Linked DNA regions of Arabidopsis thaliana. The protein of the gene in region 1 interacts with the protein of each later gene in a pairwise test. Each region holds a gene or a part of one and is shown in the gene's direction. Other genes may lie near its edges.

Evidence for each region.
Region 2: the proteins of AT1G11730 (region 1) and AT5G55950 interact in a protein complementation assay, tested with the Arabidopsis thaliana proteins (one large-scale study listed by BioGRID).

What each region holds. Positions count from the first base shown.
Region 1 is NC_003070.9:3,955,367-3,960,997, forward strand, and holds AT1G11730 (Galactosyltransferase family protein), read left to right. Parts: upstream 1-1,917; 5' UTR 1,918-2,106; coding exon 2,107-2,222; intron 2,223-2,802; coding exon 2,803-2,887; intron 2,888-2,966; coding exon 2,967-2,995; intron 2,996-3,091; coding exon 3,092-3,285; intron 3,286-3,368; coding exon 3,369-3,432; intron 3,433-3,538; coding exon 3,539-3,611; intron 3,612-3,696; coding exon 3,697-3,817; intron 3,818-3,899; coding exon 3,900-3,987; intron 3,988-4,090; coding exon 4,091-4,216; intron 4,217-4,315; coding exon 4,316-4,425; intron 4,426-4,598; coding exon 4,599-4,747; 3' UTR 4,748-5,098; downstream 5,099-5,631. Other genes in the region: SS3 (starch synthase 3), read left to right, coding at 1-111, 231-359, 445-627, 706-837, 931-1,042, 1,138-1,261, 1,345-1,474. UniProt on the Arabidopsis thaliana protein: Beta-1,3-galactosyltransferase that transfers galactose from UDP-galactose to substrates with a terminal glycosyl residue.
Region 2 is NC_003076.8:22,657,523-22,662,312, reverse strand, and holds AT5G55950 (Nucleotide/sugar transporter family protein), read left to right. Parts: upstream 1-1,807; 5' UTR 1,808-2,059; coding exon 2,060-2,138; intron 2,139-2,286; exon of another isoform or gene 2,287-2,354; coding exon 2,355-2,506; exon of another isoform or gene 2,507-2,591; coding exon 2,592-2,800; intron 2,801-2,878; coding exon 2,879-2,972; intron 2,973-3,070; coding exon 3,071-3,237; intron 3,238-3,323; coding exon 3,324-3,494; coding exon of another isoform or gene 3,495-3,555; exon of another isoform or gene 3,556-3,577; coding exon 3,578-3,902; 3' UTR 3,903-4,201; downstream 4,202-4,790. Other genes in the region: emb2731 (Uncharacterized protein family (UPF0172)), read left to right, coding at 4,419-4,640.

The sequences.
Region 1 (5,631 bases):
TACACACAGTACGGTTTAATTAAAACCCGTATTGTCTTCACAATTCATAATTTGGAATTTGGAGCGAATGCCATTGGTAAAGCAATGACATTTGCAGACAAAGCCACAACGGTAATTTCTGAAAGCATGCTCCATTTAAGAGATCTGTAATTTCAGAAATATCATTTGTGCTTTTTCTCTGAAGAATCTGAAAATGAGCATGACTCGGTCTGCTCTTAACGTTATACTAGGTTTCACCAACTTATGCTAAGGAAGTTGCTGGAAACTCTGTAATCTCTGCACATTTATACAAATTTCACGGAATTATAAACGGGATTGACCCAGATATATGGGATCCATATAACGATAACTTTATTCCCGTAAGCTTCATCACATCCTCTCCTTTCCTGTCTTTAGATTTCTTTCTACATCTTGTGATGTTTGAACACTTTGTGTGTTTCTTAGGTACCTTATACTTCAGAGAACGTTGTAGAAGGCAAAAGAGCAGCCAAGGAAGAATTGCAAAACAGGCTTGGACTAAAGAGTGCCGATTTTCCAGTAGTAGGAATTATTACGCGCTTAACACACCAGAAGGGAATACATTTGATCAAGCACGCTATTTGGCGTACCTTGGAACGGAATGGACAGGTCCTTTCGAGCCTTATCGACCTTTGAAAAGTCCTGTCATGAACTTTTCACAATCCTTACCGGTTTTCTTGAAAGCAGGTTGTCTTATTAGGTTCAGCTCCAGATCCTCGGATCCAAAATGATTTTGTAAACTTGGCAAACCAATTACATTCTTCTCATGGTGACCGGGCTCGGCTTGTTCTAACCTACGATGAACCTCTTTCCCATTTGGTAGAAAGACAATAACAAACCTTTAGTTGTAGTTCGTTCCTTTATTTGCTGTCGGTATTACTCTTTTAAGTCTTTTTGTGTTTTACTCTCCAGATTTATGCTGGGGCTGACTTTATTCTTGTACCGTCGATATTTGAGCCATGTGGACTGACACAGCTCATAGCCATGAGATACGGCGCTGTTCCTGTTGTTAGAAAAACTGGAGGTAACTGTTTTTGGCTATGGTTAGAATCTTAAGCTTTACCCATTTCACTCAAGACCAAGCTGACTTTACGGTAATGGTTTATCTTTGTCCAACAGGACTCTTTGATACGGTTTTTGATGTTGACCACGATAAAGAAAGGGCACAAGCTCAAGTTCTAGAACCTAATGGTTTCAGCTTCGACGGAGCTGATGCTCCTGGTGTTGATTATGCTCTCAATAGGTAAACCAACCAAAATCTAAACTAAGACTCTCTTTTGATTCGAGCATTATGAACCGATGTTTCTTGTTTCCTTTTGTTCCCAGGGCGATATCGGCGTGGTACGATGGTAGAGAGTGGTTTAACTCGCTGTGCAAGACGGTGATGGAGCAAGACTGGTCATGGAACCGTCCTGCACTTGAGTATCTTGAGCTCTATCACTCTGCACGCAAGTAAGACCAAATAAAATGGAAGCTCTAAGATGAATTCTCTTTGTATGTACAGAAATTAGCTTATGAGACAACTTAGAGAGTTTGATCCTTTCTTCTTCTTTTACATTCCCAAAGCAATATAAAAAACGTGATAGGTCTATGGATTCTGCTTTTGTAATTCTGAATAAATCAAAAGTTAAGCAAAGTTTATACACACACTGTTAGTACTTTTCTCACATTGTTCCAGTTTCTAACTAAATTAGTACTTTTTCACAATTCCAAATCTGACCCGGAAACAGAACAGTACGTAACTCTTTTCTCCGGTACTAGATCTGCAGCTGCAGTTATCATTACATTAGTAGCAAAAATCATCAGTTTAAAATATTTTAGTAACTTCAAAATCTATAATCTGAAACGTCATTATTGTATATGCCAAAACGTTACCAAACTTGTAAGTTATATAAAAAGTGATTCAATTAGTGGGTTTGTTCTCTCTTCATGCGGAGAGAGAGTGGGAGAAAGAGAGTGTGCAGAAAAGTACTGTAAATAGACCCACAAAAAAAGCTTGAATCTTTTGACTTCCAAATTAACAAATCTTTGATTTTGCATTGACCATTCTCTGCTTTTTTTGGATTTGAGTCCTGAAACCAAATCCAAATGTCATTCAAGAACAGAGGAGATTACAATTTTACTCCAAGAAATGTAGTTTCTAGAAACTCTGTATTTTTCATGTGCCTCGCAAGTTTCTGCCTTGGAATGTTCTTCACTAACAGGTAAATCTATTACATGAGCCCCATTTTTATTATGTTCGACGATTTCTTATTAAAGTTTGGATATCTCACTGTTCGTGTTTGATTCTAGCTTCTTTTTCTTTCTGGATTTTTAAGTATTTTGTTGTTTCTAATTTCATCTTCTTGGGACTGAATCTATCTTGTGTTTCTCAAAATTTAAGTAGATTTCTTAAGCTTTGAGTTTTGTCGGTGAAGGCATGTTTTTGTTTTTTATCAAGACTACTGGTCTATTTGTGTCCTTGTAGCTTTAGTGAGGAGGAATCAAGAGACACACACAAAAAAAACTATATCTTATACTGCTTATCAGATAGATTTGATCAAATAGTGGAACATTGTAACTTTTGTAGTATTTGATCAATCTCTTTGCTTAATGTATCGTCGGAAGAGGAACAATTGAATAATTTGAATGGCACATTGTCCACAAAGTATGAAAATAACATAGAGATTACTTCTTTTTGTTTCAAAAATCTGTATCACTGAGATAGATAGTGACTTGATCTGAATTTTGGTTCGGATTTGTGTTTGTTTTGATCTCATGGGATAATGATCATCATTATATCAGGATGTGGAATATAGTACCTGAAGCTAGAGGCATATCAAGACTCTCCAAACTAAGCTTAAGTTCCAGTGATTGCGATAAAAAGAATGTAAGATTTCTACGTTTTTGCATCATCAATTCACTTGGAAATTCGATGATACATTGTTTGAACTTGTGTTTCTTTGCAGGTTTTGGACTATGGTAACAACACTATCGGGTAAAACCATTTAGAAATTTGACTAGATGTATCTATGAACAATTACTATGTATGTTTAGTTGATGATGATGTTGTAGAACTCAAAACAAATTGCAGGATCTTAGATAAATCCATTTCAAATTTAGAGATGAAACTAGTAGCTGCTAGAGCTGAACGTGAGTCATTGTCCGGGAAATTTAACATATCCAATGAAGCTAAGAAAAGAAAATACTTCATGGTTATCGGTATTAACACGGCCTTTAGTAGTCGTAAGAGACGTGACTCTGTCCGGTCAACATGGATGCCACAAGGTAAGTCTGTTTCTACTTTTCTTGATTTCTAGTTTAAATTAGTCAGAAATTGTAACTTTTACGGTTTTTAAACTATCATTCAGGAGAGAATCTTAAGAAACTTGAAGAAGAGAAAGGCATCATTGTTCGCTTTGTTATAGGACATAGGTACAAAGGAGAAGTCATGTTCTGTAGTGAGAAACTAAGCATTTATAACTATACTTTACTTTGTGTATACCGACATTTTTATGTTCTTGGAATGTTCTGATTTCAGTGTGTTGTCCCACGGGATTCTTGATAAAGCTATTGAAGCAGAAGAGAAAACACATGGTGATTTCTTGAGACTGGTAAAACTCTGAGCAATTCTCACAAAATTTTCTGTGTTTGGTATTTTCGTGCTACATTTATTCAAAGCTTTAGAAAACAAAACAGGAACATACGGAGGGATACATGAAGTTATCTGCCAAGACAAAGACGTTTTTCGCTACCGCTGTTTCCTTGTGGGATGCAGAATTCTACATCAAAGTTGACGATGACGTTCATGTGAATCTTGGTAAGAAAATCAAAATGTTTCATTTATGTCTTATATATCATCCATCCATTTTGTTTTGATGCCTTGATCCGATTTTTTGCAGCCTCCCTCAAGAAGGCTTTATCCGCACACCAAAACAAGCCTCGGGTTTATGTTGGTTGCATGAAGTCTGGTCCCGTCCTAGCCAGAAAGTAAGTAAAAACCCTACTAAGGTGAGCATTTTTTAGGTACTTAAACAGCGTAAGAGCATCAACCTTTCCGGACTTTCTATACTTCTGGCAAAAAAAAAAACAGGAGTGTGAAGTACCATGAGCCAGAGTATTGGAAGTTTGGAGAAGTCGGGAACAAGTATTTCCGCCACGCCACTGGACAGTTTTATGCTATATCTAAAGATCTAGCTACTTACATACTGATAAACCAGTAAGTTTTTTTCCTAACTTGGTTTTAGCCAGCGGTTTAATGCAGCCAGAATGCTTGGGAAAAACCTCTAACGATCTCTATTTATTTTGTTGAAATAAGGGATTTACTGCATAAGTATGCGAATGAAGATGTTTCGTTGGGATCTTGGTTCATCGGATTGAATGTAGAACATGTTGATGAAAAAAGACTTTGTTGCAGTACTTCTCAAGGTAAAGAGCTTAACAATCCTGGTTTGGTTTAATCCATAGATGTTACCGGTTTTACTCTAAGTTGATTTTAGTATTTTACAACAGAAAAGCTTTTATACTGGTATGAAATATATCAAGGTTTTAGAAATTTCTCTAAGAAAATCATATTCTAAAGCATTATTGTTTCTTTACAGATTGTGAACTAAAAGCAATGATGGGACATGTTTGCGCGGCGTCGTTCGACTGGAAATGCAGCGGAATCTGTCGGTCGGCTGAGAGGATGGCCGACGTTCACGAACGTTGTGGTGAACCTCAAAATGCATTATGGACGTCAAATTCCTGAAAATATTTATAGAAAACAAAATTTATATCTTACTACTACTACAATGCTATAACTTGCTAATAATTTAGAATGATTAAAAAAAAAAAAGAGAGCGAAAAGATTTCAAAACAATTCTGTTTTTTTTTTTTGTTTTTTTTTGGGTGGGGTTATATAGTTAGTAGGGTTTTTGGTCAGAAAATGAATAAATGTATGCAAAAAATAGTTAGTGAAGTGGTTTAATGAGAGACAAGAAATAATGTTTTGGTCACATTTGGTTTGTCCTATGACAGACAGAGAGTCCTTATTGTTGTGCCTTTTTATTAAATTTCCACATGTCCTTTTTGCTTCTCATTGCACTCCTTTGTGTGTTTTTTCTTACCTTTCTATGGGACCATATATATATATATATATATATATATATATATTAAGTTACTTTTGGACTTATACTCTCTCGTTTTAGAACTCAATTTCGTTTCAGAACAAGTGTAATAACCTCAAACGACATATATGTGAAACAGGAGTATCAATATAGGTACAAAACTCCTAAGTTTATTCAAATGATTTGGATTAAATCGATCGCATCTTTGGATTTCAGATCGATATCATAATTTCTTTATTCGGTCTTGACTTTTCTATGTTGTGGATGTTTTTTACATGTGTTTTCTTAAGTTCGAGCATTTATTTTATTTAGCTGGTAATTCTCTTATCGTCTAACATTGGTTGGACATTTGTCTGGGGAAAATGTAAACAAAAAAACTGACATGTTTACTTTTTTCACTAAACTAGAAATATTATAATTTGATTTGTCACAAACATACTTCCGGAAATGTGGACCGACTTGATGAAATTTCATAGATTTAACCTTATCTGATAGAATAAGTCCAAAAACAGACTTCCTCGTTTTC
Region 2 (4,790 bases), on another chromosome or scaffold:
TGACACAACAAAGCCAGATAATTAACGCAAGTCACAAACTCACAATCTAACACGTTCTCCTGTCTCTGTGATTATTGTAAGATCGACAGATTTATTTCTTCTATTCCAAAACAAGCACTCGATTAATATTTACTTACACGTGATTACCATTTTCTTACTATTTTATTTTATGGCACGAAGTTCCATTTCTTGATTATAAATTTTTAATATTACCGTACCAGAACGTTGACCCAAGTTTTCTATCAGGAAATTTGTTAGGAAATGACAAATTAGTGCTTGATATCATGCATGAATCATGATCAAAAGTTGGCCCCATGTTTTTAAAAACATGGGCTAAAATTTTGGGAAAAAATTAACGAAAAAAAGATTGATGAAATAATTCTGTCAAGTACATAATAAATTCATAATACGAGAATTACGTGAATAACCTAAATTTTGTATCAACATTATTAAAAAAAATAGTGTAGAGTTTCATAAATTAATAAAATAATTTAAATTCAAACTCTAATTAAATCTAACCTCTAGACTTTAAAATCTTAACTATAAATCCGTAATGCATGGAAACATTAATTCTTCTGTAAAACAATAAACAAAACAAAATGGTCAATTGTTTAGAAAGTTCAGTATTTTAGTTAGATGAAAAAGATTTACAATAATAATTGTGTGATTTATTGAGTAATGATCGGGTTTATTCACCAGCCATCAGGCGGCTGATCGGGCCAGTTAACTAACATAAGGTCTGAATAAAAATGGGCCGAATCAATAAGGCTCGTCAATCTCAGTCTTGTGCTACATGTATTTTCACTTCTTCCACTTCCAAGTTCAAACAAATTTCGCCAAAATGGGATTACCTTTATGAACCAAAAGACGACCAGGGGACCTGACTTTATCGGTGTTAATGTTTCAATCATACTAAAATCGACAGAAATTAAAGTAGTGGATCCACAAATCTTACATTTTTATTAGAATAAGAAGTTTACTTATACAAAGAGATGATGACGTGGCCATGCAAGCTTTTTGTTTTATTACGTAGGCCCTCGGCTCCAAAAGTTTGTTGAGACTTCGAAATCTTGGAATTAAAGCTTCTCGTTTTCGAGGTCAAGCGTACATGTTAAGTCATTTTTATTCGTAAAGTGATAATAAGCTTTTTAAGTATCATCAACTTTCATCACTTATACATAAAATTCATTTAATTTACTCTTTATACGTATGACACTTAACCAAAGCTTTTGCTATTTAATCATTTGGCTAACTAACACTTCTTTCTTTCTTTCTTTTGGTAGGTTGCGGAACTAATTAACGCTACTCTTTCAAAGTTAATTTTTTTTACTGATAGTGTTATGTTTCCACAACAGTATGTTGCGTGAGGTGACGTCTATATGCTTATGACTATAAGCTAGCAGCTTAAACTATGTACAAAAATGTACAATGTCATTATTGTGATCACAAAATTGGTAGTTAGTTAATGTCATATATATATATATATATATATGTGTGTGTTTTAATTTTGTTAGGTACAGAGGCACTCTTGTAAATAAAAACTACCACTAAAATCTGAATGTTTTGTGCATTAAAAAAGAAAGAAAGATAAAACCTCGTACCGATCTGAATAATTTTTTATCAATGAAGTCACAATTTTGTACGTTGATGAAGTCAACACGTGGCAAATTACAAACTCGACAATTTCCTCAAGAGAAACAAAAAAAATCCCTGAAAAATTCCTCAAAATTTTCTTAATTTTCGAGATAAATTGATTTAAAATAAAATAAAACAGAAAGATACGCAATGAAACTGCGTTTTCAAGCAAACTGCTAAATTTCTATCTTTTTTTCTCTCTCTCTCTCTCTCTATAAGGGCTCTGCTTCTTGTACAACAGCCGAAACAATTATACCATGACATTAAAATCCAGATTTTTTTCAGTCATTTTCGTATTATTTGTTTAAAAGTAAAGTTTTTCTTCCATCAAAATGGAAAATGTGATCTGGTTTTTTTCTTAGAAGATATTAAAACAATCGGAGAGAGGATTGCAAATTTTTTATTTTTGTTAATTTGCTGTGTGATGGGTCTGGTTGATTCTTTGTTAGGAAAAGATGCAAGAAAATTTCTCAAAAGGAAAGATAGTGATGCTGCAGAAGCAGGTACGTCATTATTATAACAACAATTCATGAATCTGCCTCCATATTCTTCATTTGATTTGCCTCATCATAATTCAGATTTCTCATGATCAAAAATGATGCTTTATTTATTCCCACGTTGTCTCTGTTCTTCACCGTTTAAGTTAAATGGTTTTGATCGGATCTTTAATGGTTTTGATCGGACCTTTAGGCTTTTTTGATCTGTTTGTGAATTTGTAGGACGAGCTTTGGAAGAACTCAGAAGTTCTTTGTACAATGAGCTTAAAACATCAGAAGGAGCTAAAAGGCAACAACAGAGATTTTGTGGCCCTGTTGTTGCAATGTCCTTTAATTTCGTTGTTGCTGTTGGAATCATCCTTGCCAATAAATTAGTAATTTGGTTTCTTCAATCTCAAATTCTTCTTTCTCTTTTTTTTATTTACCATGTGAATGTAATTGTAAGGTTGAATTGTGCAGGTGATGGGAAGAGTTGGATTCAATTTCCCAATCTTTCTAACATTGATTCATTATACCGTGGCTTGGATTCTTTTAGCTTTCTTCAAGTCTCTCTCTTTGCTTCCAATGTCTCCTCCATCAAAGACAACACCTTTCTCATCTCTTTTCTCTCTTGGAGCTGTCATGGCCTTTGCTTCTGGACTCGCTAATACCAGTCTCAAACACAATAGGTTCATAGCTCAATCGCTAAAGTTTGAATCAAGATTCATAGCTTAAGCTTGAAAGCTTTTGTTCTTCTTTGTTTCCAGCGTTGGATTCTATCAAATGGCTAAGATCGCAGTTACACCAACGATTGTTCTTGCCGAGTTTGTTCTCTTCAAGAAAACCATTTCTTCCACAAAGGTTTCGCTTATATCTTTTATGACATGTCAACAAAACAATCAAGAATTCATTACATGTTTTTGGTGCTTACTCTGTTTTTGCAATTTGTCCTCTTACAGGTCATGGCATTAGCTGTAGTATCTCTAGGTGTGGCAATCGCGACAGTGACGGATCTAGAATTTAATTTGTTTGGTGCATTAGTTGCTGTTGCTTGGATTATTCCAAGTGCCATTAACAAAATACTCTGGTCTAATCTTCAGCAACAAGCTAATTGGACTGCCCTAGCGTAAGAAATAAGAATCTCTCTCTTTTACTTTTACTTGAGGTGTAAGCAATACAAGTCTCTTAAAATAAAGGCTTTATTGAATGTAGATTGATGTGGAAGACAACACCGTTTACTGTCTTCTTCTTGTTGGCTCTCATGCCATGGCTTGACCCACCTGGAGTTTTGCTTTTCAAATGGGATTTAACTAACTCTTCCGCAATCCTCATCTCGGCTCTTCTCGGCTTTCTTCTCCAATGGTCTGGTGCACTCGCTCTCGGGTTAGTCTTTTTGTTCTCTTGCTTTGGTTGGAAGTTCAGTCTTGAGGTTATAAAATGCTAACTAAATTTGTTGTTTCTTACAGGGCAACATCAGCAACATCTCATGTAGTATTAGGGCAATTCAAGACATGTGTGATCTTGCTTGGAGGTTACGTTATCTTCGGCTCTGACCCTGGTTTCATCAGCATCTGCGGCGCTATCGCAGCTCTTGGAGGCATGTCTGTCTACACGTGGCTCAATCTTCCGGGGAAATCCATCGATCACATGTCAAACAAGCAGCTGCCAAAGCAAAACGTCACCGTTTCAAAACCTAAAGCCGAGGCTGACGACGGAGGAGGAGAGACCGGAGTAACCGTAGTTTCTGTTGACCCACTTCTCTCCAAGACGATAACTGCAAATATCGTATAGTTTTACAATTTGATTAGATTGCCAAAGAGAAAAAAAATGAGTTTTACTTTTTCTTCTTCAGGTTTTAGTTTGTAAAATTGGTTCAGTTTTGATATCAAATTAGTGTAGTAAAGTATACTAATAAAAATATTTTGATATCATAATGTGACAAGAGGGCTTGGTGGGTTTATTTGTACGATAATGAAATAGATGGTGTAGTTTAGAAGTAATGTAAAACTTGATGTGTATTTTTTTTTTTGTCGTCACTTGATGTGTATTATGAGGTGCAATTAGTAAATATAATAAACCTTTTTGACTTTTTCTATAATTTCAAAAACTTTAATGTAGTAAAGTGAAAACTTGTGGGGAATAGGGTTTTCGGTGATAAAATCGGGCTGACCCGAACCCGGTTTAGTGCGAGATTCCACTGTCCGTCGTTAACAAAGGAGCTAAATCTCAGAACGATTTCTCGATTTGCTTTTGCGACATTATAATTTTCCTTTCAATTGACTCAGTGAGTCGCCGATCGAGTTAGAAATGGGAATGGGAAGTAACGGAGAATTGAAGTATGAGATCTCCCAGAACGCGTACATCAAACTCGTTCTTCACTCGCTGCGACACAAGACGGCGGCGGTCAACGGAGTCCTCGTCGGTAGAATCAGCCCTAAGGACGACGGAGTTGTAGAGATCTCAGATTCTGTGCCGCTCTTTCACTCTAACCTCGCTCTCCTTCCTCCTCTCGAGATCTCCCTCATCATGGTTCGTATCTCTTCTTATTCGAATCGATTTGATTTTACGAGCTTTGAAATTGAATTTTGAAAGAGATTATGATCTGATTGCATTGGTATGTATATTGAATTACGAATTCTGGAAATTTTTAGTTCGTGTACTAAGCTTGAGCTGCATATG